Linked DNA regions of Rattus norvegicus. The protein of the gene in region 1 interacts with the protein of each later gene in a biochemical or structural test. Links are inferred from orthologs where the notes say so. Each region holds a gene or a part of one and is shown in the gene's direction. Other genes may lie near its edges.

Evidence for each region.
Region 2: the proteins of Plk1 (region 1) and Nedd1 form a complex in vitro, tested with the Homo sapiens proteins (2 studies listed by BioGRID). The link is inferred for Rattus norvegicus from reciprocal best matches to the Homo sapiens genes PLK1 and NEDD1.
Region 3: the proteins of Plk1 (region 1) and Klhl22 form a complex in vitro, tested with the Homo sapiens proteins (2 studies listed by BioGRID, with this or other methods). The link is inferred for Rattus norvegicus from reciprocal best matches to the Homo sapiens genes PLK1 and KLHL22.
Region 4: of the proteins of Plk1 (region 1) and Racgap1, one has a biochemical effect on the other in vitro, tested with the Homo sapiens proteins (3 studies listed by BioGRID and IntAct, with this or other methods). The link is inferred for Rattus norvegicus from reciprocal best matches to the Homo sapiens genes PLK1 and RACGAP1.
Region 5: of the proteins of Plk1 (region 1) and Csn2, one has a biochemical effect on the other in vitro, tested with the Homo sapiens proteins (3 studies listed by BioGRID). The link is inferred for Rattus norvegicus from reciprocal best matches to the Homo sapiens genes PLK1 and CSN2.
Region 6: the proteins of Plk1 (region 1) and Wee1 form a complex in vitro, tested with the Homo sapiens proteins (2 studies listed by BioGRID, with this or other methods). The link is inferred for Rattus norvegicus from reciprocal best matches to the Homo sapiens genes PLK1 and WEE1.
Region 7: the proteins of Plk1 (region 1) and Pin1 form a complex in vitro, tested with the Homo sapiens proteins (3 studies listed by BioGRID, with this or other methods). The link is inferred for Rattus norvegicus from reciprocal best matches to the Homo sapiens genes PLK1 and PIN1.

What each region holds. Positions count from the first base shown.
Region 1 is NC_086019.1:186,154,158-186,157,657, forward strand, and holds the end of Plk1 (serine/threonine-protein kinase PLK1), read left to right. Parts: exon of another isoform or gene 1-1,196; coding exon 1,197-1,352; exon of another isoform or gene 1,353-2,155; coding exon 2,156-2,233; exon of another isoform or gene 2,234-2,413; coding exon 2,414-2,568; exon of another isoform or gene 2,569-2,665; coding exon 2,666-2,848; exon of another isoform or gene 2,849-2,979; coding exon 2,980-3,183; 3' UTR 3,184-3,480; downstream 3,481-3,500. UniProt on the Homo sapiens protein: Serine/threonine-protein kinase that performs several important functions throughout M phase of the cell cycle, including the regulation of centrosome maturation and spindle assembly, the removal of cohesins from chromosome arms, the inactivation of anaphase-promoting complex/cyclosome (APC/C) inhibitors, and the regulation of mitotic exit and cytokinesis.
Region 2 is NC_086025.1:29,158,835-29,162,838, reverse strand, and holds the start of Nedd1 (protein NEDD1), read left to right. Parts: upstream 1-1,204; 5' UTR 1,205-1,241; exon of another isoform or gene 1,242-1,354; intron 1,355-3,642; 5' UTR 3,643-3,650; coding exon 3,651-3,786; intron 3,787-4,004. UniProt on the Homo sapiens protein: Required for mitosis progression. Promotes the nucleation of microtubules from the spindle.
Region 3 is NC_086029.1:96,733,216-96,737,402, reverse strand, and holds the start of Klhl22 (kelch-like protein 22), read left to right. Parts: upstream 1-1,387; 5' UTR 1,388-1,418; intron 1,419-1,523; exon of another isoform or gene 1,524-1,757; coding exon of another isoform or gene 1,758-1,979; intron 1,980-4,187. UniProt on the Homo sapiens protein: Substrate-specific adapter of a BCR (BTB-CUL3-RBX1) E3 ubiquitin ligase complex required for chromosome alignment and localization of PLK1 at kinetochores.
Region 4 is NC_086025.1:132,629,831-132,632,784, reverse strand, and holds the end of Racgap1 (rac GTPase-activating protein 1), read left to right. Parts: intron 1-819; coding exon 820-925; intron 926-1,966; coding exon 1,967-2,042; 3' UTR 2,043-2,454; downstream 2,455-2,954.
Region 5 is NC_086032.1:20,600,541-20,604,623, forward strand, and holds the start of Csn2 (beta-casein precursor), read left to right. Parts: upstream 1-1,283; 5' UTR 1,284-1,323; intron 1,324-2,990; 5' UTR 2,991-3,002; coding exon 3,003-3,053; intron 3,054-3,772; coding exon 3,773-3,799; intron 3,800-3,917; coding exon 3,918-3,938; intron 3,939-4,083. UniProt on the Homo sapiens protein: Important role in determination of the surface properties of the casein micelles.
Region 6 is NC_086019.1:173,616,041-173,619,540, forward strand, and holds part of Wee1 (wee1-like protein kinase), read left to right. Parts: intron 1-922; coding exon 923-1,069; intron 1,070-2,309; coding exon 2,310-2,405; intron 2,406-3,500. UniProt on the Homo sapiens protein: Acts as a negative regulator of entry into mitosis (G2 to M transition) by protecting the nucleus from cytoplasmically activated cyclin B1-complexed CDK1 before the onset of mitosis by mediating phosphorylation of CDK1 on 'Tyr-15'.
Region 7 is NC_086026.1:27,464,254-27,468,441, forward strand, and holds the start of Pin1 (peptidyl-prolyl cis-trans isomerase NIMA-interacting 1), read left to right. Parts: upstream 1-1,388; 5' UTR 1,389-1,394; coding exon 1,395-1,452; intron 1,453-4,188. UniProt on the Homo sapiens protein: Peptidyl-prolyl cis/trans isomerase (PPIase) that binds to and isomerizes specific phosphorylated Ser/Thr-Pro (pSer/Thr-Pro) motifs.

The sequences.
Region 1 (3,500 bases):
CTCACAGTAGTCAAGGATGACTTTGAACTTGTGTTCCTTCTGCCTCTATATCCTGAGTACTAGGATTACGGTCAAGGATGGGCCACCATTCCTAGTTTATGAGCAGTTGAAAATCTAATTCATGCTAGTCATGCCCTCTATTAATCAAGTTTTCACTGAGTCCAGCTCCCTTTTCTTGTTCTCCTTTCCTATAGTGCTGAGCCTGTGGATTCCTATCTTACTGGGTGGTGGTGGTTAAAATACTGCTGTTTTATACAGGAAAGTAGTAAAAGAGTCTGTTCTGTAAACTGTTCTCAAGCTCTCCCGAAGGCAGAGAACTGTGTTATCTGGCCCTGGGGTATTCATTCCTCCTTCATTACCAGCAGTTAGATTTGGGCAGGCTTGATTTTACATATTCCATAAACACTCGTTTTTGCTAGGTTTTGTTTTTTAACTGTGTATATGTGTTTTGTTGCATGTATGTATGTCTGTGCACCACGTGCATATTTGGTGAGCACAGAGGCCAGAAGATGGTATCAGATCCCCTGGGACTGGAGTTACACATGATTGTGAGCCTCCATGTGGGTTCTGGGAACCAAACCCAGGTCTTTGGCAAGAGTAGCAAGTGTTCTTAACTGCTGAGCCATCTTTCCAACCCCTTTTTGGCTAGTTTTAAAATCAAATCCTGAATATTTTATTTCACCCTTAAGTTCTTAATGCACCATAGGGTTTATTTTTTAGTTCTCCTGGTTTGGGGAAACAAACCAGTCAAATGTAAAGCTAGCCCCTGGCCACTGTAGACCAACTTAATGCTTCAGTGTGCATCTCATTAGACTCCAGCCATTTGTAAACACACAAAGCAAGGGGTTATAGTAGAAATAAAGCTGCTGAGGCTTTATTTAAAAGGAGTCCATCCTGCAATACACTGACCCATCCTTCCACCTTCCTGGGTGCTCCAAGTGCCCTCCACTCTGTGTTTGGATTGGTGCAGCTTTGAGTCACTGGTACCTTCAGGTTGCCTCCCTGAGTGACAGCAGCAGCTGCTGTCCTGGAAAGCCAGGTTGTTGGGTCACAGACCTGAAGCTTGTCACCCTCTCAGTATGCACCACATACCTGTCACTCAGACGGGTGCTGTGTTCCCACATGGGTGATAGTTAGAGTGCTCTGGGAAGAGTGCTCGTTCTGTGTCTGCCAGGTGACTGAGTTAACCTTCTCAGGTGTGGAGAACCCCCTGCCTGACCGTCCCCGAGAGAAAGAGGAACCAGTGGTTCGGGAGACAAATGAGGCCATCGAGTGCCACCTTAGTGACTTGCTACAGCAGCTGACCAGTGTCAACGCCTCCAAGCCCTCAGAGCGAGGGCTGGTGCGGCAAGGTGAGTGCTACAGGGGTCTGCACATCTGGGGAAGGCAGGGCATCTTGGCCAGCAGAGCACTCAGGCCCACATGACCTTTGCTCTGTCCATTTCTTATAGATCAAAATCTAGGTGAGTTAGTCTGACACCCACGGGCCCCTTAGTGTTCTTTCTGCCCACTTTTCTGCTCCATCTCATCTTGTAGGTGGCTGATTGATAGGCCATCTCTGTATAGCTGCACATACTGCTCAGGGAATTAATCCCTCCAGAGACTCAGATCAGCTCCAGACTCAGGGCTTTTGTACCCAGTGTCACTGCCCTGACACCTGCTGCCATTACTTCCAAACCTGACTTAGTTCTCTATAGCATTTCTTCCCAGCAAGCACATTCGTGTCTTTGCAGCAGGGACTCGTACAGTGAGCTGTTCTAGGATTGCAGGCAGGGGTTGCCGGGTCAACTGTTTCTCCTCGCTTTAATCTGGGGCACTAGGCCTTCTACCATTCCCGGTGCAGATGATGGAGCAGCCTGGAGGCTTTGAACATTCTTCATCCCTGTGGTTGGAATGTGGGCTCTTCCAGAAGCTTGCTTCTTCTTTTCCTGTCCGAACCTACAAAGCTCATGGGTCGCAGTAGGCCTAGAGTAAAGGGGCTCACTCAATAAAGTGGGCCTTGGCATCCTGAGCTGCAGTTTTCCAATTGGGTGTCGGGCTTGTGCTGTCAGGCTCCTCCTCCAGCTTCATGGGTGCCTAGAGTCCTCCCCTGGGGAGGGCTACATGAGAGGAAAGGGAAGGGACTGACCTCACCTGTGTTCTGTTTCTATTCCAGAGGAGGCCGAGGATCCTGCTTGCATCCCTATCTTCTGGGTCAGCAAATGGGTAGACTATTCGGACAAGTATGGCCTTGGTAGGTGCCCCGGAATGTGGAATGGGCAGGGGATGGTGTGACTGTGGTAGCCTCTGAGAGGGGGAGGGGGGATGAGAATTGCGGGCCTTCTGCATGATAGGCAAGCATTGTACTACTGAGTTATTCCAAGGCCTTTGCCTGCCTCCTGCCTTTCTGAGATAGCCTTCCACTTGCCACCAGGTTATCAGCTATGTGACAACAGTGTGGGAGTGCTCTTTAATGACTCAACACGCCTCATCCTCTACAATGACGGGGACAGCCTGCAGTACATAGAGCGTGATGGCACGGAGTCCTACCTCACTGTGAGCTCCCACCCCAACTCCTTGATGAAGAAGGTGAGTTCGGGCTGCCAAGGGGTAGCATGGCAGGGTATGAGGCTGCCTCAGGGTCAGGCCCTCATGCTGAAATCCCTCCCCCAACTTTTCAAACTAGATCACTCTCCTCAACTATTTCCGCAATTACATGAGTGAACACCTGTTGAAGGCAGGGGCCAACATCACGCCCCGGGAAGGCGACGAGCTGGCCCGGCTGCCCTACCTACGAACATGGTTCCGCACACGCAGCGCCATCATCCTGCACCTCAGCAATGGCACAGTACAGATTAATTTCTTCCAGGTGTGCAGGCGGAGGGGCCTGTACTTGGGCTGGCAATGTTGTCTCTTTCACCAGTGGGGTGCCTTCCTCACTTTTGCCCCTCCCCTTGGGCACCAGTTGAGCTCTTCTCTTGCTCCCTCCTTCCCTCCTAGGACCACACCAAACTTATCCTGTGCCCCCTGATGGCAGCAGTGACCTACATCAACGAGAAGAGGGACTTCCGGACATACCGCCTGAGCCTTCTGGAGGAATATGGCTGCTGCAAGGAACTGGCTAGCCGCCTCCGCTATGCCCGCACCATGGTAGACAAGCTGCTGAGCTCGCGTTCCGCCTGCAACCGCCTCAAGGCCTCCTAGGTCTCCGTCCTTCGGACTGGTGCCCCTTCATTCTGCTAGCGCTCTGCTAGCTCTGGGCCTGCACTACTGGGCTCCTGGGGCCGCTGTTCAGTGCCCCTGGCCCTGGGGGCTGGCAGGGAGCAGTGCCCCCTGTGAAGGGGTTGCTGTGTGTAAGTTATTTTGTACATGATTGGGTGTGGGTTTGCAGCCTGTTCCCTGCCCTCGGCCCACTGTATGAACTGTATAAATATTTCTATTGAATTTGGGACTGCCCTTTCCTTAGCTTTATATATATTAAATATTTGTACATCTCTCTCTTTTTTTGGTCCTATATTTCT
Region 2 (4,004 bases), on another chromosome or scaffold:
CAGAGGCTGGATAGAGAACTTCCTTTTCTCCTGAGAGTGGGGATTGGCATATCTTAGGTTTCCAGTTGCTTGTGATATGAGTTTAGGTGATCGGGACATTATGTATGCAGTTCAGAAACACATCCTGTGTACACCTGGGACCAAGGAGTGACATTTTCCATAGAAACCCCCTATCAGTGATGGAAGTAATCACTGTCAACACTGTAAACATTGTGAACACTGTCAACGGAGCAACCTTTTAGCAAGACTTTTGGAAAACTCAGTTCATCGGCCCCTTTCTACCATGAGACAAATTCCCTCAAAAGAATAACCACTGAGCTGGTGTTCATGTAACTGATCGCAGCATGTGACGTTTGGCATTTGAAGACGGCTAGCTCAGAGGCTTACGTCACCGTTGGGTTTATTCTCAGAGTTAGGGTTCGTTTTGGGTTAGATGATCCTCTCCTCTCCTCCGCTTCCCTCCCCTCCCTTTCTCCCGCCTCCCTTCCTTTCCTTCTCCCACTCCTACCCCACTTCCCTCCCCCATGTCTTCCCCTCTTTCTTTTTTGAAACTGGGTTTCTCTGTATAACTGCCTGGAACTCATTCTGTAGACCAGGATGGCTTCAAACCCACATAGATCCCAATGCCTCCCGGGAGTGTTGGGATTAAAGACACGTACCACTACACCTCTTTTAAATCAGATGTTTAATCCATGGTTTTCCATGGCTCCCTCTTCTATATATCCTCTCTTAAACCAACATCCATGTTAACTGCCTTTATTAAGAGTGTTCTTGTGATAAAACTGTGACACCTTTTTGTGGGAACTGAGAGTAGCCAGCATTCGTCTCGAACTCCCCCGTCTTTTGTCTTCCCTTTCTCTATAGAATTGTTAATACTAATTTCCTACACTAGACTGTAATCTCCATCAGGCCAGAGACCTGCATATTGACTGATCTCTTGTCCCTTCAAGCTAAACCCAGCAGTGCACACCCACAGCCTAACTAGGTGCCTGGCACACAGTAGACAACAAACAAATGAGCGACAAAGGAGTAGTAGCTACAGGTTAGGAAAACTTCTTTGCACCACCCCGGCGTGGGCTGCCACCCAGCAAGCGCTGGTGGAGCGCCCGCGGCACCGCCTCTCCGTGACGTCATGTGAGGCGGGACTTCCGGCCGCCTAAGTTTAACAGTCCAGGCGGGAGCCGGAAGCGCAGCGAAAGAGCGGGTGGAGCCGGGCCCCCCTGTGGTCCCACGCTTGAGAGGTGAGGTTCCGCCTGACAGGGGGTCTCTGTGAGCAAGCACCGCAGCCCTAGGCGGGGGACCCCGAAGTCAGCGTCCTCCGTCCTGCGCTGGGCGGCTGCGGGCGCGCGCGGTGGTGAGTGGCCCGGGACGGGATAGGACCAGGTCGCGGGCCCGGGACCTACGGGCCGAGCTATCCCGGGCTGCTCGCTCACCCCGACACTCGGGTCTGACTCTCCTGCGTAGCGCAGCCGCCCTGGGCTAGGGGTGCGACCCCAGAGAACTCTTCTTTAGCAGAGTGTGCAGTTGGTCGCTGTCGCTCTTCTTTCACGGGATCGTCTCGGGGGACTGATGTCAGATCCCAGAAGCCAAGCGAGGGAACTGAGACGACTTTGTGAAGTCAGCATCACTGAAGCTGTGTGGGTCGCTTAACTCAGCTTTCGGGGGAACCTTGATCCACCCATTGCACCACACTGGGTTATGGTAGCAACATCTTGCAGTTGTGTTTACTGCTCTTAAGAGTTCGACTTTTCTACCCTGTGTTTTTCCGTGAGTCCGGGAACAAGAGGCATAGTGTACATGCTTCAGTCACCAAATAGAAACATTGTCTACAACTCAACAGGTGACTCTACACGTTTTTTAGCAGCACCTACTAGGGGCCGTTCTAACATGGAACCACCACACGACTGTATCCCAAAATATGAACAACAAATCATAGGAGTTTCTGGCTAAACGTTTTATCCTTTCCTTAAACTTTAGGTTTTTTTGTTTTTTGTTTTTCCCTCCTGAGAATCTATGGTACCTTTTTAGTTTGTCCTCTGGAACCCATTAGAGATATGTGTGGTGCATTGTTGATAATATAGGGGCGTGTCTGTGACCGCTGTTGGCCTGTAACATTGGTGGATAAATTCAGCCCCCATATGTCACCACATGGCATCAGTTCAGTATGCTGGAGCAACAGGAACATCCCATTTTAAAAGAAAGTAACCACTTTTTATTAGACTTCAAGTATCAATGAAACTGTTGACCTATAAAAATATATTTAAACACACAGACACACACACAGGAACATACATTAAAAAATAGTACATCTGCTTGCGCCTTGGCTTTATCCATTGATTTTATGTATATATAAAGATTGGTTGCAACTCACTTCATTCAAACTCGTTGTATACTAATTAGTTTTTTAGACATAGGCAATAGGATAAATTGTATTATCAACAGTTTAATTGGATAATACTATAGTACTTTTTTTTTTTTTTTTTTTTTTTGCTTGCTTGCTTGTTTGTTTTGTTTCTGAGACAGGATTTTTTTCTGTGTAGCCCCTGGCTGGCTGGAACCAGCTCCACAGACTGGGTTGGCCTCAAACTCACAGGTCCACCTGCCTCTTTCTGGGATTAAAGGCCTGCACCACCACCACTGCCAGTCTTATAATAACAGGCTCTTGTACCACCCCTCCAGGGTGTGGGAATATCTTTCTCTGCCTTCTTCTCTCCTGTGTATGTTTAAGTACTCTGTCCTCCACAGTACCTGCTGCCCTCCCTTCAGAGTTCTTGGAGCAGCCTCTCTGCTTTCTGTCTAGACTACTTTGGCTTTGGCATCACTCTTGTCAGATGTATGTGTTGGAACGTCACACTGCATAAAACTGAGGCCCCGGACCAAGACTTGGTATTAGGATATGCAGTGGCAGCTTCCTTTGTTGTTAATTTTAGAGTTTGGAAAACTTGGCACAACAGGATTCAGACTTCTAGGCAGGCTCATACATTAAAAAAAATACATGAGAACATCACTTAGTAGATTTCTCTGCGAAGTACTTAGTATGGGTCAGGAATATTTCATGAGGAGGCAGGCATCGTTATGGGAACAATGAAGACAACAGAAGTTCTGCTAATGAAATTGAATCGGGTAGCATATTGAATAAGAGTAGCACTGATAAAGGGCTGTTTTTGCCGCAGTCCCTGGGGAGCCCACCTTTTAGAAGCAGAGAGTTTTGAACTGAGGACCGAATGATTAGGAGATGGTTTGGGGGGGGGGGACGTAGGGGGTGGCTTTCCAGGTAGAGTAGGGCAGCAGGTGCAGAGACACTAAGACGAGGATGAGCTTGGCTTGGTTCATAGACATGAAGAAAGCCAGTGTCAGATCTGGCGGCCTCAGGCAAGAGAGGTAGGAGAGCCATGCAGGCATTCCTGTCCTGTAAGGCAGGCGGAGGAGGTTGGGTTTATGGAGGTTGCCGAGGGGATTCTAGGAAGGATGAGCTAAGCGTATGTGATTGGCTGTTGTTTAAATCATCTTATACTACTGTGCATGCTGTTTGACAGAAAAGGACAAGTAACACCCCTTGCCTTTAGATCAGGCACATTTCAGCTTTTAAAATTTGCTTTTCCCTAACTGCGTTTTAAATACGTTGTTCTAAACTTTTTATAGGCTCAGCCATGCAGGAAAACCTCAGATTTGCCTCATCAGGAGATGATGTTAAAATATGGGATGCTTCGTTTCTGACATTGGTGGATAAATTCAACCCCCACACGTCACCGCATGGAATCAGTTCAATCTGTTGGAGCAGCAATAGTATCCTTTAAAAAAAAAGTACTTTTTATTAGTTTTCAATGATCAGTGAAACTGTGTTGGCCCATAAAGATATTTGTGTAGCTACCTATGTTTTAAAAAAAAAAAGAAACTTGATAAAAACAGTATATATGCATGTACTGTAGTTTTCTCTGTTGATTTGCTTTAAAAAATTTTTTTAGTTGCAACCCACTTCAACCTCATTCAAACTTGCCGAATAG
Region 3 (4,187 bases), on another chromosome or scaffold:
GACCAAGGCTTTTGGGATGGGAATATCTTCACACTATATAAACTAGTTTTGGGGCAAAGATTGTGGGATCCCTTCCTATTCTGCTAGTCCCCATCTCTAAAACTTTTTAGAGGGTGACCTGTTTTGGTTGTATTTTTAGATAGCCAGAAATGACAAGGGAATGTTGTCTTCTACTTTTTGTTGGATCTCATGTCCTTGTATTTGCACAGCTGGGGACTTTCAGACCATGATAAAAGTATTCTATATATGTATACCATCCCTTGCTAGAATACTTTTATCATGGTCTGAAAGTCCCCAGCTGTGTTGTCATTTGCTCCAGGGAGCCCTGATAGGTAGAAGTCCACCTACATTGGGCGCCTCTTTCTCTAGAAAGAGGGTCCATATCTTTTCTTCTGGGTCCATATCTAGCCTCCAGGCATCAATCAGGGTTCACCTGAAACAGCCTTTCTTTTATTCACTTTCTTCTTCTCTCCTCTTTTTCACGAGGAGGCTTCCTTAGTGATATCTTTCCCCTATCTTTCATTCTCCACATTGAAACTACAGTTTCCTTCTATCTATTTGTAAGAAGGCCCTACAGCTATCCTCTGGGATTCTGCTATAGGTATGCACCCCTCAGAGTGTGATCCTCTTGGAGGTGAGGCAGAGAAAAGTGGGTGTCCTCAGGACAGCTAGGGGCAGCTGAGTTTTGAGATTTTACTCTAGAGTCTCAGAAAAGAGGAAAATCAACACTTGTTCATAAAGGCCTTGCTTATTTTCACTCTCCAGAGAAAGCACTGGGCGAGCGACCTTCCAAAGTCTAAAGTACAGTGAGAGAAGAAACAAGCAAGCGAATGCCTGGGCCAGTGAAGAAAGAAATAAGAGGCACAGGGAAGAACTCAGACAATAAATAAGGGGATGAGGGAAATGAAGACAGCATGAACGAGAGGGTAGGAGCGACGTAGGGAGCAAGGAAGAAGCGAGAAGGAGGGGACAAGTGAAGCAATGAGTGAAGTAATGAATACGCGATGAGGAATAGAAGGAAATAATGCAGGGAGAAACGAAATGAATGAGAGAGGAGAGTGAGGGGAGGAAGGAGGCAATGAGGGAGAGGGTAAGTGATTAGGTGTGAAGAGACAAGCAAGCAAAGAAGCTATGAGAGAATGAGTGAGGGTAAGAATGAGGCAAGGAGGAAGGGAAAGAAGGGCATAAATTTGCACCTCCAAAAGGCACTTCTAGGGTGGCGTTTCCTGACCAGCGGTCCAACGACAGTGTAGCCCCAGTCCCGCTCTTCGGCCTCGCTCCGCCCCGCCCCGCAGCGATCCCCCTGTAGTCCACTTGCGCCTGCGCAGCATCACACGTGACGGTGAGGCTCCGCCCCCACCTCCAGCCTCCCGCCTCCCGCCTGCTGCGAGAGCGGCCACAGCTTGCGGCAGCACCAGGTCAGCTGCGAGGCATGAACCGTGTGGGCCTGGCAGGCCTTCGTCGCCGAGCTTGCGCTGCACGCGGGGATGGGAGAGGGAGCGGGGACAGCGGCGGACGCGGGGATACGGGCCAAGTATCACGGGCGCCTGGGGAGGGCGCGGGCGACTGCCTGACGTGGCGGGGGCCCGGCCGGGCGACCCTAGGGCGTCCGGCGCGGGCCTGGCGCCGTGGCGCGGGCTGGCGGAGGCCTGCGCGTGGCTGAGGCGGACCGTGGCCCTCGCAGCCCAGTCGACCACTCTCTATAGCCAGTCGTGGGTCCGAGTGTGGCCTCCGGCCTGTCCGGGTCCCTCGAAGCTATGGGAGCAGGGATTGCAACAGGCGGCAGGGCGGGCCTGGCTGCCGCTCCCGGCGTGACCTCAGGCTCTTCAGCCGCTGCTGCGGTTGTTGAGAGAAGCCGGAGAGCTCGCGCTGTCAGTGCAAAATCCCCGGGATGTACTAGTTTAGATCCTGTACAGGCCGAACGAACGGACCTGTCCGGGCGCAACGGGGCCACCTTCTACCCGCGGCAGCTTCCTAGGGTAAGGCCTGATCCCCGAAATGCTCCTAGTCAGTGCTCTAGGGAACTAGCCACAGAGCACGTCAGCACCTCTTGGAGACTCTCCGCGCCCCCCCCCCCCCCCGTGGAAATAAGGACCCACTCTTTCTCATTCCAAGCTGCTGGTTTTTCTTTTGTTGCACATGTTGCGTTGTGATACGGATAAGTTGAGGACAGATACTGAATGGGAGCCCCTACAGAAGATTAAGGATGCCTTTCTAGTAAATGTTCGTTGAAGATTCCTCTAAAATATGTTTCAGTGTATGGCTGTTTGGATAGGAAACCCAGATATCTTGACTAGGGGCCCTTAAATAAAGCGTGTTTACACGCGTGAGAAGCATGAAGTTATAAGCCGAAGCAAATGGAAAGTGAAGAGGAATATTGAAGATATGTAGTCACTAGAGTCTCCTTAATTTTTTGTCGTTAAAAAGAGTGAAGACAGGTGTGGTGACACCTGCCTTTAATCCCTGTACTCCGGAGGCAGAGGACGGCAGATCTCTGTGAGTTCGAGGCCAGCCTGATCAACAGAACTCCAGGACAGTGAAGGCTGTTACACAGGACACTTGAAAAAACAAGTGTCTGTATGTGCACCTGGGTGAAGGAGTGAAGGCTCTGGAGACCAGCAGAGAGCATCTCGACCGGATGTCAGTGCTGGGAACAAAACTCCAGTTCTCTGAACAAATAGTTTTGTGTTAAATGCACTGAGCCTTCTCTCTAACCCTACTTGTTCCTTATTTATTTATGACAAGTCTACATATTGTAGGCTGGCTTCCAACTTTGTGATCTTTTTGTATCAGCATTCCTGAGTGCTGGAGTTACAGATCTGTTACTATACCAGAGATCCTGGATGCTGTTGCACTCTTGGTTGTACTGAATTTCTTTTCTTGAGCTTAGTAAATGTGCTCTGCCTATCCAAAGGAGTAGCCATCCTGTTTTACTGTACTTGTTTTTGTGGTGGCTGTTTAGAGAGTAGATGATATTTCCAAGAGGGCAGGCAGGCTGCTCAGCTGACAGCAATGGAGACCACCCCAACATGTGCATTGCGGGGGGGGGGGGGGGGAGTCAGTGTCTGGTTTTTTTTTTTTTTTTTTTTTTGGAGCTGGGGACCGAACCCAGGGCCTTGCGCTTCCTAGGTAAGCGCTCTACCACTGAGCTAAATCCCCAGCCCCTAGTCAGTGTCTGTTAAGGCAATTAATCATCCACAGATGGGGAAGCCTTCCAGGACGCTGAGGTTTGAAGGTAGCAGCCAGAGTCTGGTTAGCAGATATTGCCATAGAAACTAACCTTGAGGTGCTTGGGAGACAAACTGTCAAGGGTAGAGAAGACTGGTTCCCTACCAGAGCATGTTTTTTGAGATTGTATGAAGGCTCTAGGTAGATGTGATCAACTAGATCATGGCCAGAATAGTACTATGAGAAACGAACATAGTTCTGTTAGAGGATTGCAGGTGTTCCTGTGGGTCTAAGAACTGGTAATGTGGCAGGCAGGAGAAGGAAGAAAGCCTTTGAGTATTAAGTGGGGAGATGGCACAGGGTAATGAGGCGAGAGTTAGGGAAATCCTTTGGAACAACATTTCTATGCTCTGACTCCAAACTGTGGCCATTGGAAAAAATAAGGGGATGGCTGTGCAAGATACAGGAGTAGAATCAAGACCAAAGGATCTTACAAAACATAAGCTTAAGAAGGAAAAGAGATCATGGAGATTAGGAGGTTTCAGGTAGAAATGGAGCATGCAACTGACAAAAACAGACCAATTAGGAGGGATTCTGGCTGGAGATGCCATTGGGAATGCATGTCCTGGGGAATGGATGGATTGAAGGAAAGGAAGAAGTCAGGAGAGGAGGAATTACTTTACAGCAGAGTTCCAGGCTGGAGAGATCCTAACCCAGAAACAGTTGCCAAGACATAAGCTCTAACCATCTCTAGGGCCTTGTGAGAAGGCATCTGGTTCAGGTAGAATGAAGGTGTGGGTAAGCCAATAGAGCCCCAGCATCCAGGGGATGGAAGAGAAGGAGGCACGGTGATGGGAGGCAGGAGAGACTTGAGAGCACGTGGGTCCTGAAGAGGAGGTGAGGGTGGGGAGAAATGTGCTCCTTCAGTAAGAAGGCTTTTGGGCTAGATTTGATTTCCCTTGACATCTATTTTTCATTTTAAAATACACATATTTGAGGGCTGGCAAAATGGTTCAGTA
Region 4 (2,954 bases), on another chromosome or scaffold:
TCCTCGGCGAGAGTTCAGCGCCATTCCGGGTTCCACGAGGCCCTCTCTCAACCCCTCTAATCGGTGTGCACCAGCTTGGACGTTCCATCAGTGTTTCAGAGTTACATGTATTCCATCCAGCGTGATGGAATTCCCAGGGTTTAGTCCTGCTTTGGGTGTGTTAGCGTGTTTTATTGATTTGGTTTCATTTTTGATTCTTTCCTTCGGAGCTGGGGACCGAACCCAGGGCCTTGCGCTTCCTAGGCAAGCGCTCTACCACTGAGCTAAATCCCCAACCCTGGTTTCATTTTTGAAAAATGTTATGTGTGGTGCACATGCCATGGTGCATTGGTGGAGCCCGAGGACAACTTGGGGGAATTGGTTTTCTCCTCCCACGATGTGTGTGGGTCTCAGGGACCGTCGTGCCTTTGCCTGGGAGCCGTCTCACTGGGTCTGATTCTGGTGTGACTTTGCCATTTCTGCTACCATTTGAGTGGAATGGTTTTATCCCCACCAAATAGACCTATTAAAAGTGTCTTTTTAAGGAAAGTGTCTTGTTTTTTGTAGTATATGTAAAAGTCAAATGTTCAGATGTCAGAAGTGTGAGGTTTGGAGTTTGGGAATTGTCTGAATCAGGAAGTGAGTGTCAGCTGTTCATTGAGTAGTTGCCTGGATGGTTCAGAAGACTCAGGAGCCAGTTACCACAAAAGGGCAAAAATGGCCTGTGAGCTGCTACACGTCTAACTTTCAGAGGCTAGTCAGCTAAAACCATCCCTCGTCAAAGGTACTTTCTTTATTTTTCCAAATTCACTTAAAAATATGTCTCAATTTTATTTCAAGTGAGCTTATTGGGGCCTGTGACCACTCCTGAATTCCAGCTTGTCAAGACTCCTTCATCAAATTCCCTGTCACAGAGATTGTACAACCTCTCCAAGAGCACACCCAGGTATGCAGAACTTCTCAGGGGTATGTGTGCACATACTCGTGTGTGTGTGTGTGTGTGTGTGTGTGTGTGTGCGCGCGTGCGCGTGTGCGTGTCTGTGCGTGTGTGCATGTCTGTGTGTGTGCGAGTGTGCGTGCGTGCGTCTCTCTGTGTGTGTGTCTCTGTGTGTGTGTCTGTGTCTGTCTCTGTGTGTGTGTGTGTGTGCGCGTGTGTGTGTGTGTCTCTGTGTGTGTATGTGTGCGTGAGTATGTGTGTGTCTGTGTGTCTCTGTGTGTGTGTGTGTCTCTGTGTGTGTGTCTCTGTGTGTGTGTGTGTCTGTGTGTGTGTGTCTCTGTGTGTGTGTGTCTGTCTGTGTGTGTCTCTGTGTGTGTGTCTGTGTCTGTGTGTGTGTGTGTGTGTGTGTGTGTGTGTGTGTGTGTGTACTCCTGCATGAGTTGCAGCAGCATGCTGGGGTAGAGCATACCTTGTAAGAATCAACTCTCTCCTACCGTGTAGTTCCTAGGAGTTGATTCAGGTCTTCAGGTTTGGGGACAGTAGTTTATTGAAGGTGTATTGGTGTATATGCCTGCAGTCCTCCAACAGTTCTAGCATTTGGGAGACTGAGACAGGAGAATCACCAGGAGTGCAAGGCCAGCCGGGGCCTTATCTAAAGAAGTAAATGAAAAGAATAACTGAAGTAGAAGTGGAAACCTCAGATGAAGGGCTCTGCGGTGACCCTGGGACCCACCCTGCTGGGTCAGTAACACCTTACCGAATAGCTCCCTAGGCAGTTCCCATGCTTAGTTTTATATCAAGTAACATAATTGTTATTCAGTATTTTTTATAGAATGTTTTTTAAAGAATGTGTACTTACCTGCATGTGTGATGCCTGCACTGGAGCACCCACCTGGAGAACAACCTTTAGAGTTAGTTCTTTCCTTCCTCCTTTGTGGGCTGTAGGGATGGATCTCAACTTGTCCGGGTTCGCAGTAATCACCTCTTTGTGGTGTCACTCACCAGCCTGTAGAGCACTTTTCTCAGCCGTTCTCTCTAATTTATTTTTAGATTTGGGAACAAGAGCAAGTCTGCCACCAACTTAGGTCAACAGGGCAAATTTTTCCCTGCTCCGTACCTCAAGTAAAGCTGTTTCTGCCTACTGTCTGCCTACTGCAGGAGACACACCTGTTCGCTCCTCAGCTCCTGTGTAATTACTACTTTTAGCATTTTCCAGGCTTTAAATAAAGTTTAATGTATATGAGAGTTTGATTATTACATAGCTCCCTCTCACCTGGTGACCTAGCACCTCGTAGAGTTGTTGGGAGCTTTAAAATGGAGCTTTCTGCAGGGTAGAAGGACAACGGGAATCGACTATGGCTCTTCTGGGGGGGGAGGGGGATCTCTTAGGCTTAAAGCCAGATACAGCTCGTGAAATGACTGGTCCTGTGGTGTCTCTTAGACAGTGACAGAAACTGTGCCTCTTAGGTAAACCTGAATTATCTCGGGACAAGAGGTTTTGGGACAAGATAAAGAACTACACAGAGGCCACAGGATGGCCCCTTCTCAGAAGCCAGGTCCTCTTCTCCTTCAGGGAGTGACACATGGCCGGGAGCCCTCTGCGGCGGGTAGGCCGAGGCACTGATCTGAGGATACTCACTTCTAACTGGGTTAAGTCTGAGTTGTAGAAAGTGCTAGAGGCTATGATCCCACGTGGCGTGTAGTCTCTAGTCAGCCTCAACCTGGACTTTGTTTGCAGTTGATTGGGGTCAAAGCCAGATTGGTTTAAAGCCTGATTCATTCTGACGACTGACCCCTTGTCCTTTGTCCAGTGGAGCCTATTTAAAAAGCCAGCTAATAGTTCAGAAGATTGTCTATTTTCATACAGCGAGAACGTTAGTTGCTTCTGTCTTTGCACTTTAGGTGGTGAGCTTTTTCCAGACATGTGTATGTAAGCATTGGTTTTTTGGTTAGCATTTTCCAGTGTCTAAAATGGCTTCCTTCCCTGGGATGTTTTCTGATACTCATACTAACCCTTATCTGTAAGACATGTATTTGG
Region 5 (4,083 bases), on another chromosome or scaffold:
TACTTATTGATTTCAAAATTCTACTCATTCTTTATGATCTAGCTAAACTAAAGAACTCATCAAGACATTCATCAGATATGTATTATTTCTCTATTGTATATATTAAATTAATACATTGAAACAAAAATAATACATTTAAGTTTGAGTTTTTCATGACAAAATCCCAGAAGAGTTAAAGTATGGGCCACGGAACTTACATGTGACCAAATAAAAATCAGCTGTAGCGAGACAAATGTAGAGTGGGTATTATAACTTTATCATTAAATGTAACATGACTGAGCAAGTTGTACATATAGTGTCTTCATTTCCTAAATGTTGATAATGAGAAAAAAAAGCAACTTCAAGTTGTTTTGCAAAAAGATGACAAGATAATGATTATTATGTAGTTAGTGGCTGTTACGCATAGCATTAAAAAGATAAAAGTTTGTATCTGTAATTACTATTATGACTATCATAACTGAAGAAAAAGGTAACTGATTGCTAAGTAAATACATTTACATGCCTATTTTCAATAAAAGAACAGAAAGAAAGGAGAAAGAAAGAGAGAGAGAGAGAGAGAGAAAGAAAGAGAGAGAGAGAGAAATGTACACAAAAAGAGACAGAGAGAGACACACACAGAGAGAAATACCTTTTTTGGTGTTTGTAGACCTCTGAGGCCTTATTATTTAAGCCAAGAATTTGATTTATTCTAAGCCCGTTTTACAAACTTTTCTCTTTTTACAGATTCATAGTTTTATCTTTTATACAAACCTTAAAGATTCCTTTTCTGACTTGTTCTAATACTATGTAAAACGCAGTCCCCTGTGTACTGAATATTAGTTGAATGTATTTAAATTTTCCCAAATCTGGTGAATGTGAGCAATCAAAAAGTATGCTACTCATGACCAGTCTATCTTAGCATTATGGAGTTCTTAGTGCTCAGGTGGAGATGAAATCTTGGCCTCTCTAAAGCTTTGTGAATTTTGATGTCTCTATATCATTGCCACATAGGTGAGGTTAAAGCCCCCCACTAGGCTGGGGAGAGTGCTGAGGACTGTGTACTAGGCTGGAGAGACGTCCAGTTATTGGACAATTTCCTTTCCTGGACAAGTTCCTTCACCAGCTTCTGAATTGCTGCCTTGTTTAATGTCCCCCAGAATTTCTTGGGAAAGAAAATAGAAAGAAACCATTTTCTAATCATGTGGACTTCTTGGAATTAAGGGACTTTTGAATATCTTACGAACCACAAATTAGCATGTCATTAAGTATGGTATATATACAGTCACAGAGTCTGATAGACCATCATCCTCTGAGCTTCATCTTCTCTCTTGTCCTCCGCTAAAGGTAAGAACTTCAGACGTAAGTTTGAAATATTATTTTCATTATTTATTTCAAACCCATACTAGACTATGTTATAGAAAGAAGAGATTTACTTAAAATATAGCTTTCTGAAAATAGATATTTTAAAAAACTGTGAGATTATTTTCAAGGACAGGCTTTTGAAAGTCAGAAATGCCTAGAAAAATTTGGTACAAATTATAATGACCCTGGCTTCATAAAATTGGGTAAATGTAGTAAAAATATATAAAGCCAGTGACTACTATAAAGGAGAGACTAAGAATTATCTCCTACACAAGCTATCTTATTTGATTTGATGTATTTTACTAGTGTAATGCACTCAAATTATATCATGGAAAATAGATACTTATGGCATAGCTGTTGGAAGAAGCAAACTGCATGTTTATAAGCAAGAAAATTGTAATCATAAAACTTTTCCAGGGGCTTGGAATTCTTGATCTAGTTCATAGTATTACAAGAAATATTAGAAACCATGTAAAAAATAGAAACAAAGTCTTCTATTTTCTTTTTTATTGGGTATTTTATTTATTTACATTGCAAATGTTATCCCCTTTCCTGGTTTCCCCTCCAGGACCCCCCTATTCCATTCCTTCCCAGCCTGATTCTATGAGAGTGTTCCCCCACACAACTACCCACCCCTTTCCTCCTCCCCTCCTTGGCATTCCCCTACACTAGGGCATAAAGCCTTCTCAGGACCAAGGGCCTCTTCTCCCATTGATGCCAGTCAAAGCCATCCTCTGCTATATATGCAGCTGGAGTCATGGGTCCCTCCATGTGTACTCTTTGATTGGTGGTTTAGTTCCTGGGAGCTCTGGGGGGTCTGGTTGGTTGATATTGTTGTTCTTCCTATGGGGTTGTAAACCCCTTCAGCTCCTTCAGTCTTTATCAGAACTCACTTAGAACTAGTGATCATTGAAGTAAGATGAGTTGAAAGAACTGTAGCTTAGAACATACCACATAACAGTGAAGTTCTGGTTTAAAATTGGTGTATAAAATGCCAAGGTTTAAATACAAGAACTGCAGTGGTATTCTCCCCACATTTAAAATACACAAAGACACAACTTTCTTTTAATCTAGGATGATTGGATTATGTGGAAACCCATGGAGGAAGCTTCAGACAAAGTGTTGATAATGAATAATACAACATACATCAGAAAAACAAACAAAAAACCAAACCCACTTCTTTTCACTAATGGGATAGTTTTCCACCTTCAAGTATTGGAAAGAATGCTTTATAAATATATTTAAATTTTTATTTTTTCATGCTGTGATAATTCACAAGCAACAAAACAGTTAATACACTTTGTCTACTAATTCATTCTAGATGTGAATGTGAGACTCCATAGAACTGAGATATTAATATTTTGTTCATTGTCTGGCCACCTGTAAGTGCTCAGGAGTTTAAAATGAATGACTTGTGGAATGTTTGGCTAGTTATGCATTCTCCATAGCTTTTGTAAGGCATCCATGCAACTGTTAGCAAAGGAAAGTTAAAAAAGAAAAGAATGGCAGGAGCTGTGAACTGACGAACGCTGATGATGGCCGCAGCTGACGTCTGAGTGTAGGGCTTAGTAATAGGAGTATTTAAGAACCAGAGCAGATTCTGATTTGTTGCTGACTAATCTGTTTCTAATTCTTCTCTTCATTCACAGGACTTGACAGCCATGAAGGTCTTCATCCTTGCCTGCCTTGTGGCACTTGCTCTTGCAAGGGAGGTGTGTAGAGAAGCTTCCTAAGTAATTAAGATGTAGAGATGAGTCTGCTCACTTATACACAATAACAGCAGTGATAGCTTTTAATGTGCAATCAATGGAGAGTTTGGGATAGCTTTATTTAGTCACCGCTTGTTTGAGAATCACCCAGGGTCTCAAAGTTCCTGTAGGCTCTCCAAGCTGAAATAAGTGCTTACTGCACTATTGTGTGACAAATTCTCTAACAACAACAAAAGCAGAAATAAGAATTGAAGCAAGGCGATAGAAATACATCAAATAAACATGACTTCACAAAAGTAGACTCACATGTGCAGCTTGAGTATCTCAGTCTGATGATAAAGTGCATGCACCTCTTTAGATGAGCAGATCAAGTCTTACTGTGCCTGTCCAAAGAGATATTTAGAGGAGGAAATACAATCCAGAATTGTGGCCATGCTCTGAGTAGAGTCATAGGCATAATAAGAAAGTGTTTAGTGGAAAGCAAAGTAACTTTTGCCAGCCGTCAAAGTTTATGTACACCTTTATGTAATATAATAATGTACCTATAAAAACTTATTAAAATATCAAAGAGATTGTAAATATAAGTTTTCAAGATTATGAAAGCCATATATCAATTTTTTTATTTCTGAAAGAGATAAAAAGACATGCAAATCAAGCAGAAAGTATGTTTAATAACAGGGTTGATATAGTAACATAATGTTTTTAATTGTTTGCTTTTACAGAAGGATGCATTCACTGTGTCCTCTGAGGTAAGAGTTTTTATTGAGACAAATTTCCAACTCTAAGATTACTACATTTTTAATGATCTTGAAGTCCTAATTGGATCTATAATTTAACATATATATGTATGTATTTTTTTGTTTACAGACTGGTAGTATTTCCAGTGAGGTAAGGCAATTGTCTCTCAGAGGCAGCAAATTGCCATCTTTCTGTTGAGTTATATTGTGTTGCTCACACCCATATGCTTCTTAAGTAAATACCCTTTACATGATATTAGGAGGAGAAAAATATTTTCTCCTCATGAAGGATAGCG
Region 6 (3,500 bases), about 13 Mb from region 1:
AATAAATGACATAGGTAGGTAGTACAGCCCTCTACTCTTTACTGGTTTAAATCAGTTTCTTATTTATAGACAGGGTCTTGCTAGGTAGCTCAGTCTGGTCTATAACTTGCTGTGTAGACCAGGCTGGCCTTGAACTCACTGATATCTGCCAGTCCCTACCTCCAGAGGGATTAAAGATTTGTGTAAAATGGCTTGGTTCTTGTTCTACTCTCAGCTCCCCCATTTCACTTAACAAATGTACATTGGCCTTACTTGCCCCATCCTCTCAGAAAAAGAAACTTGACAATCTATCCTGAGAAAGTGAACAAAAATTGGTTGCTGAGGTTGATAGGTTAAAAGAAAATTTAAATTGTGTTTTCCCCCAGTGCTGAGAATTGAACCTGGGATCTATACATGTTCAGCTAGCTAGCATTGCCTCCTGTCCTAATAAGTTGTCTGGGCTAGGTAACCTTAAACTCAGTTTGTAGCCTAACCTGGGTTCAGATTTGTGGTCCTCCTACCTTAGCCTCCCAAAAGCCGGGATTATGTGCCTAATCACTAGGCCTGGCAATTAAATTTTATTTTCTGGGCTGGAGAGATGGCTCAGTGGTTAAGAGCACCGTCTGCTCTTCCAGAGGTCCTGAGTTCAATTCCCAGCAACCACATGGTGGCTCACAACCATCTGTAAAGAGATCTGATGCCCTTGTCTGTACCTCGTGTGTATCTGAAGACAGTTACAGTGGACTTATATATAATAAATGAATAAATCTTTAAAAAAATTATTTTCTATAATTGCAGATGCATTTCATACAAAAACAATAAATAAAAGTTGATATCCCAAGAAAGTTGAAGCGAGAGATTGATTCTATTAAATACCATGTTCTGGGTGTGGACTGTAGAGAGATGAGAAAGTAAAATGTTTGATGATTGCTGTCTCCATTAGGTGGGAGTTTAGCTGACGCTGTAAGTGAGAACTACAGAGTCATGAGCTACTTTACTGAAGCAGAGCTGAAGGATCTCCTTTTGCAAGTTGGCAGGGGCTTGAGATACATACATTCAATGTCTTTGGTTCACATGGATATAAAACCTAGTAAGTAAGCTTTGGCTGTGTTGTTTGTGACTTGGATATAGGAAATAAAGGACTTCATTGTAACAATGTGAAAGCCTCTTACTACTGTTCATTGATTACTAAGTAGTGTTTTAAGTCTTTCATAGTTGGTCTGTTTACATTGGTATCTGTTTCAGGACTATGCTCCACATCTGGTTATATCATTACCCTTTTCAGGTGTTATCCTGCTACTTTTTCTTTTCTTTAATATCTTATGTTTATTGGTGTGTGCCTGCATATCTATCTATCTATCTATCTATCTATCTATCTATCTATCTATCTATCCATCTATCCATCCATCCATCCATCCATCCATCCATCCATCCATCCATCCATCCATCCTGCTGTGTGAGGATGTCAGAAGCCCTGAAACTGGAGTTACAGGCAGATGTAAGCTGCCATGTGGGCACTGGGAATTGAACCCTAGTCCTTTGGAAGCCAGTGCTCTTAACTGCTGAGCCATTTCTCCTGCCCCTCTACTTCTTTTTTATTAGTTATAAGGACACTGTAGCTGTCTTCCTGACATACCCAAAGAGGGCATCAGATCTCATTACAGATCTAGAAGAGCAGTCAGTGCTCTTAACCACTGAGCCATCGCTCTAGCCTGCAGCCTGCTTTTAATAAGGGTTCAACCTCTCCTCTTCTCCACCACTCAGCAGAAGTAGTAGAAGACAAAAGTTATTAGGCTAAAGGAGAAATCGACTAGTACAGCAATAGTTCTTTGAGGGGCGGGGGAGGGGCAAGCTTGATCTTCTTTTTCAGCAATTCAGTCCCTTAGCAAACACCAAATATGGCTCAGCGGGTGCAGACCAGTCCACTAGGCAGGCAGACCCCAGGCATGAACTGGCAGCTACAGTCCATTTCTTTTAGCAGGCAGACCCTGAAGCTGCCGCAGGAACCTCACAAGCAGTTCTTGGTGAGTTACCACAGGTTGTGAGCTCAACAATGCTATGCAAGGCAATCAATACACGTGTCGTTAATGCCAAAGTCTCCCACTATTTGTGGGGTCATATTTATACTCCATCACAGGTCCTTCTATGTGTTTGCTATATCAAAACATTCTTTTACCTGTGTCTGCTTCAGGAAAACATTCTTTCAGGTGTTTACTTTATCAAGCATCCTTTCACTTGCCAGCAAAACATTTGACATAACTAACTTTCCAAAGAACTAGAAGTTTCCACTTCAGCCTTGTTTGTTAAATATAGTTATTATTATTCAACAGGTAATATTTTTATATCTCGAACCTCAATCCCAAATGCAGTCTCTGAAGAAGGAGATGAAGATGACTGGATATCCAACAAAGTTATGTTTAAAATAGGTAAAACTATTTTGTTAACTATTAGGGATAACTGTTAAAATTAAGAAGGGTTGGCGTGGGGGTTGGGGATTTAGCTCAGTGGTAGAGCGCTTGCCTAGGAAGCGCAAGGCACTGGGTTCGGTCCCCAGCTCCGAAAAAAAAAGAACCAAAAAAAAAAAAAAAGGGTTGGTGTGGGGCTGGAGAGATGGCTCAGCGGTTAAGAGCACTGACTGTTCTTCCAGAGGTCCTGAGTTCAAATCCCAGCAACCACATGGTGGCTCACAACCATCCATAATGGGATCCGATGTCCCTTCAGGTGTGTCTGAAGACAGCAACAGTGTACTTACATACATGGAATAAATAAAATAAATCTTTAAGAAGGGTTGGTGTTAGGGGTGGGTGTGTGCATAGGTGTAGTGGGCATGATGGGAAAGACTATGCCACAGCGTGTGTAGATGTTAGAGGACAGGCTTGAGTATTCTCATATTCCCCCTTGTTCCAAGGTGGGGTCTTTTGCTGTGTACTGCTTTGGATACCCAGGATAGGTAGCCTGTGAACCTCTGAAATTTTTGTCTCTAGCTCCCATCTTGATGTTGTTCTGGGTTTGCAAACATGTGTTCCTATGTTGGCTTTTACATGGGTTCTGGGGATATGAATGGTGGTCCTTAGTCTTGTGAGGCAAGCATTTTATCCACTGAGACATTTCCATAGTCTCATGTAAGTGCACCACTGGATACTTGGTCCCCAAAGAAGCCAGGAGAAGCATCAGATCCCCGGGAACTCAGTAACAAGTAGTTGCGAGCTACTGTGTGGATGCTGGGAACAGAACTTTGGTCTTTAGTGAGAGCGTCAAGAGCTCTTGTCTGTGAGCCATCATCTCTCCAGCCCATGTTTATCTACTTTGGGACAGGATTTTCTGTATCCTAGGTATACATTATCCCAGGTCTGCTTCCTTGAGCTTGTTGTGTAGCCCAGAAAGCTGAGGATTCTGCCTCGACTTTGAATCCTAGGATTATGGACCTGTGTTGTCATAGTTATAGTTGGTTTATATGGCTATAGATAACAAGACAGGGCTTTGTGCATGATAGATAAGTTGTCTACTAACTGAGCTTCTGT
Region 7 (4,188 bases), on another chromosome or scaffold:
TTGCCACCAAGCCTGACAACTTTAGTTTGACCTTCAGAACCCCATGGTGGAAGGAGAGAACAGATTGCCACAAATTGTCCTCTTGATTACACAGCTTTCATGGCGGTATCCCTTATAAATGTAATAGTTTTTTAAAGTGATTTTTTAAAAATTCTTGAAACAGGGATTCTCTGTGTAGCTCTGGCTGTCCTGGAACTCACTTTGTACACCAGGCTGGCCTCAAGCTCAGAGATCTGATTGCCTCTGCCTCCTAAGTGTAGGATTAAAGGCGTTTGCCACCAGCACTAGGCATAAAGTAACATTTTAAAATTCTTATATATATGAATTGCCTGCATGTATGTATGAATGTGTACCACATGCAGGTCTGGTGAATTGAAAGGTCTAATGGAAGGGCAGCTAGTGCTTTAACCACTGAGCCATCTCTCTAGCTGTCTTTTTTTTTTTTTTTTTTTTTTGATTCGTTCATTCGTTTGTTGAGACAAGTTTCCTGTGTAGCCTTAGCTGTGCTGAAATTCACTTTGTAGAGCAGGCTGGTCTCGAACTCAGAACTGCCTGCCTTTGCCTCCTGAGTACTAGGATTGAAGGTATACATTAACACACCGTTTTCCTCAGACTACCAGTTGACTAAAACCGGTCGTTGGAGCCGCCCACCCTCTCCTACCCCCTTTCCTCGGTCTAGTGGTAATGCTCTCACCCATCAGTCACCTGCCTAGAAGTCAGGAGGAGCCCATGGAGAAGGAATAAGTCGAAGTAGGTTCTAAAAAAGACATGGAAAGTGGGTGAATAAACCAGTGAAATGGTTCGCCTTGCAAAAACCGAAAAGGACTGGTTTCGCTTTGGACATCTGGAGGAAAAGGTGGGAAGAAGAACTCAAAAGCCAAATTTAGGCTCTGAATAGTTAGCCTTTTGTCACCAAGGCAACTGCATTGCTATGGCAACGGCAAAGTACAGCAAAAGCACCCATGTACCTTAGTTCCAGCTGGCCACTTCCGCGTGGATTCTGGCGGACCTCCGAGAAAGGCTTGAGAAGGCCGGATTGGCTGCCGCAGGAGCCAGTCAAATAAGCACTATTTTATCGGCTAAGCGCACCAAAAAGGGTGGAGCGCCCTTTTGACGCTTAAAGGGAGCCGCTTGCCGGGTTGGAGCATCCAATAGACGTAGCTTCCAGACGAGCCAATCAGTAGCGGTGTTGGGAAGGTGAGGGTAGTGGGTGGAGGGTGTGTGTAGGGGTGGTCCAGGAGGCCGCGGGAGAGCCCAATAAAAGGCTCGAGAGCTCGAGGCGTTGTGCTGCCGTCCAATTGGCGTCTCGATTGGATGAGCCAATCAACAGCGGCGCTGGTCTGGCGCGGGGTCAGAGCCGCGGAGGCGGAGCAGGCGCTGCGGCAGGAGGGAAGATGGCGGACGAGGAGAAGCTGCCGTCCGGGTGGGAGAAGCGTATGAGTCGCAGCTCAGGTACCTCTTAGGGGTCGCCCAGGGCCCGGGGCGAGGCCTGGAGGTTGCGGAAGTTGGGCTTGAGCTCGCCTGCACAGGCGAGTCGCATCACCGTCCTGCTTCGGGCATGGAGATCTGGCCTCCTCCGCGGCATAACGGGCCCGGAAAGCCAGATACTGAGGTAGGAGGTGGGGCAGGCACAGGCGCGCCCCGGTTCTCGCCCACCACTGGGCCCCGGTGCTCTGAGGCGACGAGTCTGCACCTCGGAGTTCCCTTGAGAGGAAGATCGGGATTCGGTGCAGAGGGCGTGGGCCGCCCTGCTCTGGTTTCTCGGGCAGCATCCGAGACACGTGCCCGCTCATCCCCCTATCGGGACCCAGGGACAGTGATGGCTCCTAACCAGGACAGTTCGTCTCTGGGTCAAGCATGGTGCCAAACTCTTTGAAAGACTTCAGTTCTTTTACAAGTCTACGCCGGTGTGTGCTCCCGCTTCCCCTCCCCCTCTCCCTCCTGCCTTCTCTCACTCTCTCCTTCCACCCCTCCCTCTCTCTCCCACCCACCTCTCCACTCTTCCTCTTCCTCCTATCCCCACCTCCACCTCTGTTCCTCCATCTCCCTCTCCCTCCTCCCTCGCTCCCTCTCTTTTCTTGGTTCATGCTCTCCTCCCCCCCACACCCCGGTTGCTACCATCTTTCAAGAAAGGAATTGCTCTCATATTTCAAGAGGGAGAAACTGAGGCCAGACATGGAAAGAACTCATCTGATAATGCAGTTCAGTCACTGGGAATGCCCTAGATTGCAATGATTTTTTTTTTTTTTTGATCTCAAATGTCCCCTTCCCAGTGTCAGTGGCAACGCCTAGAGTAGCCTACAAGCATTTCAGGTAGCCAGGGTCAATGCAACCTACAGAGCTCACTCAAAATTCTTAGTTATTAAGCATCAAGGTTCTGGACACTGCATATGTTAACTCTCTGAACCCAGCTAGGTTTAATGTCATTCACTTTCCACCTTTTTATCAAGAGTGGATGTGGAAAGGCATTAGACAGAGCCTCATAAAGACAGGTTACTCTTGAATTCCTGATCCCCCTGCTTCAGCTCCCCCAAGTGCTGAGATTACAGGCATGCACCACTTTGCCCAATTTATTTATTGAAACAATCTTTACTAATAATATTAGTAATACTGTATTTAATGTATGTGCATGTGAAGGTCAGACAATCTTAACTTGCAAGAGTTTTCTTCCTTCTACCATGAGTAGATTGTGAACTCCGTCAGATTTGGCTGCAAGCACTTACCCATTGAGCCATTTTCCTTTCTAAGATGTGTGTGTTTGTGTGTGTGTGAGAGAGAGAGAGAGAGAGAGAGAGAGAGAGAGAGAGAGAGAGAGAGAGAGAAAGAAAGAAAGAAAGAGTGCGCAAGAGCGAGCATGAGCGCTCAGACGATACTTATCCAAGGATGACCTTGAACCTCTGGTGTTCTGCTGGGATTACATCACACAGAGGTAAAGTCTTGCTGTGTAGCCCAAGCTTGCTTCCAACTCATGATCCTTGTGCTTCAGCCTCTCACGCACTGGGACTAAAGTTATAAGCCTTTATGCTCTGATGTCCTTATTCTCTTGTCCCAGTCTACAGATGAGAAAGCTGAGGTTCAGGGAAGGTGACCTGACAAAGGTTTTAGTTGGATTTATCCCCAGAGGCTTTGGGCTGCTCCATTCCTAGGGTGGGGTTGTGACCTCTAGCATAAACTTGTCTCTAACTGGGTGTGGTGGCACACAGCTGTATTTCCAGCACTTAGGCAGAAGCAGGAGGAGATCTGGTTCATGGTTGTCCTGGGCTACGTACACTTTTTTAAAAAATACATGTATGGGTATTAGGCTTGCATGTGTATTCCATATGCATGCAGTGCCCACCAAGAAGCCTGAAGAGACAGTTGTGAGCCTCCACATGGGTACTGGAAATTGAACTCCAGTCCAATAGAGGAGCAGATGGTGCTGTTAATCTCCGGGCCATCTATCCAGCCCCCATAGTGAAACTCTTTTACACACACACACCCCTATACCTGCCCCTCTGCTTAGTTATGCTTGTCATTTGTTCTCAGTAGGACTATGAAAAGCCCTTCCTTCATGGGTAACATCCAGCTCTTCTCCTATGCTAGATCAGCTGTGTAACCCAGGTAGACTCAGCCCTTGGAGTGACCCAGAATCTACTGGGTCCTTCCTTCAGGCTTCTGCCATACCCCTTCCTCCTCTTTTACCTTTCACTTTTTTGAGTCCGTCTTGCAAACTTACTTTTACTGGCTTCAATCTGCAGACATCCATCCTCTTGCCTCAGCCTCCCTAGTGCTAGGCAAACAGCATGTTCCACTAAGCCAGAGTTTTCCCTTGAGGTTTTGATTTTCCATCTGTCTCCTTTATGCCCTCACAGCCACTCAGATGACATCAGGCCCTGAGTAATGCTACCCCTTGCTCTCTGACTTAGGCTACCAGTGCAGGGGTTAAGACTGGAGCTTTGAGGGCTGGGGATTTAGCTCAGTGGTAGAGCGCTTACCTAGGAAGCACAAGGCCCTGGGTTCGGTCCCCAGCTCCGAAAAAAAAGAACCAAAAAAAAAAAAAAAAAAAAAAAAAGACTGGAGCTTTGGAGTAACTTTCTCTGTTTATGCACAAGACACAACTGCTGCTGCTGTGAGCAGAGGAGGGGGAGGTGCTGCCTGGGTTTTTGTGGAACGAAGCAATGGGTAAAAACAGTTATACTCTACCTTTTG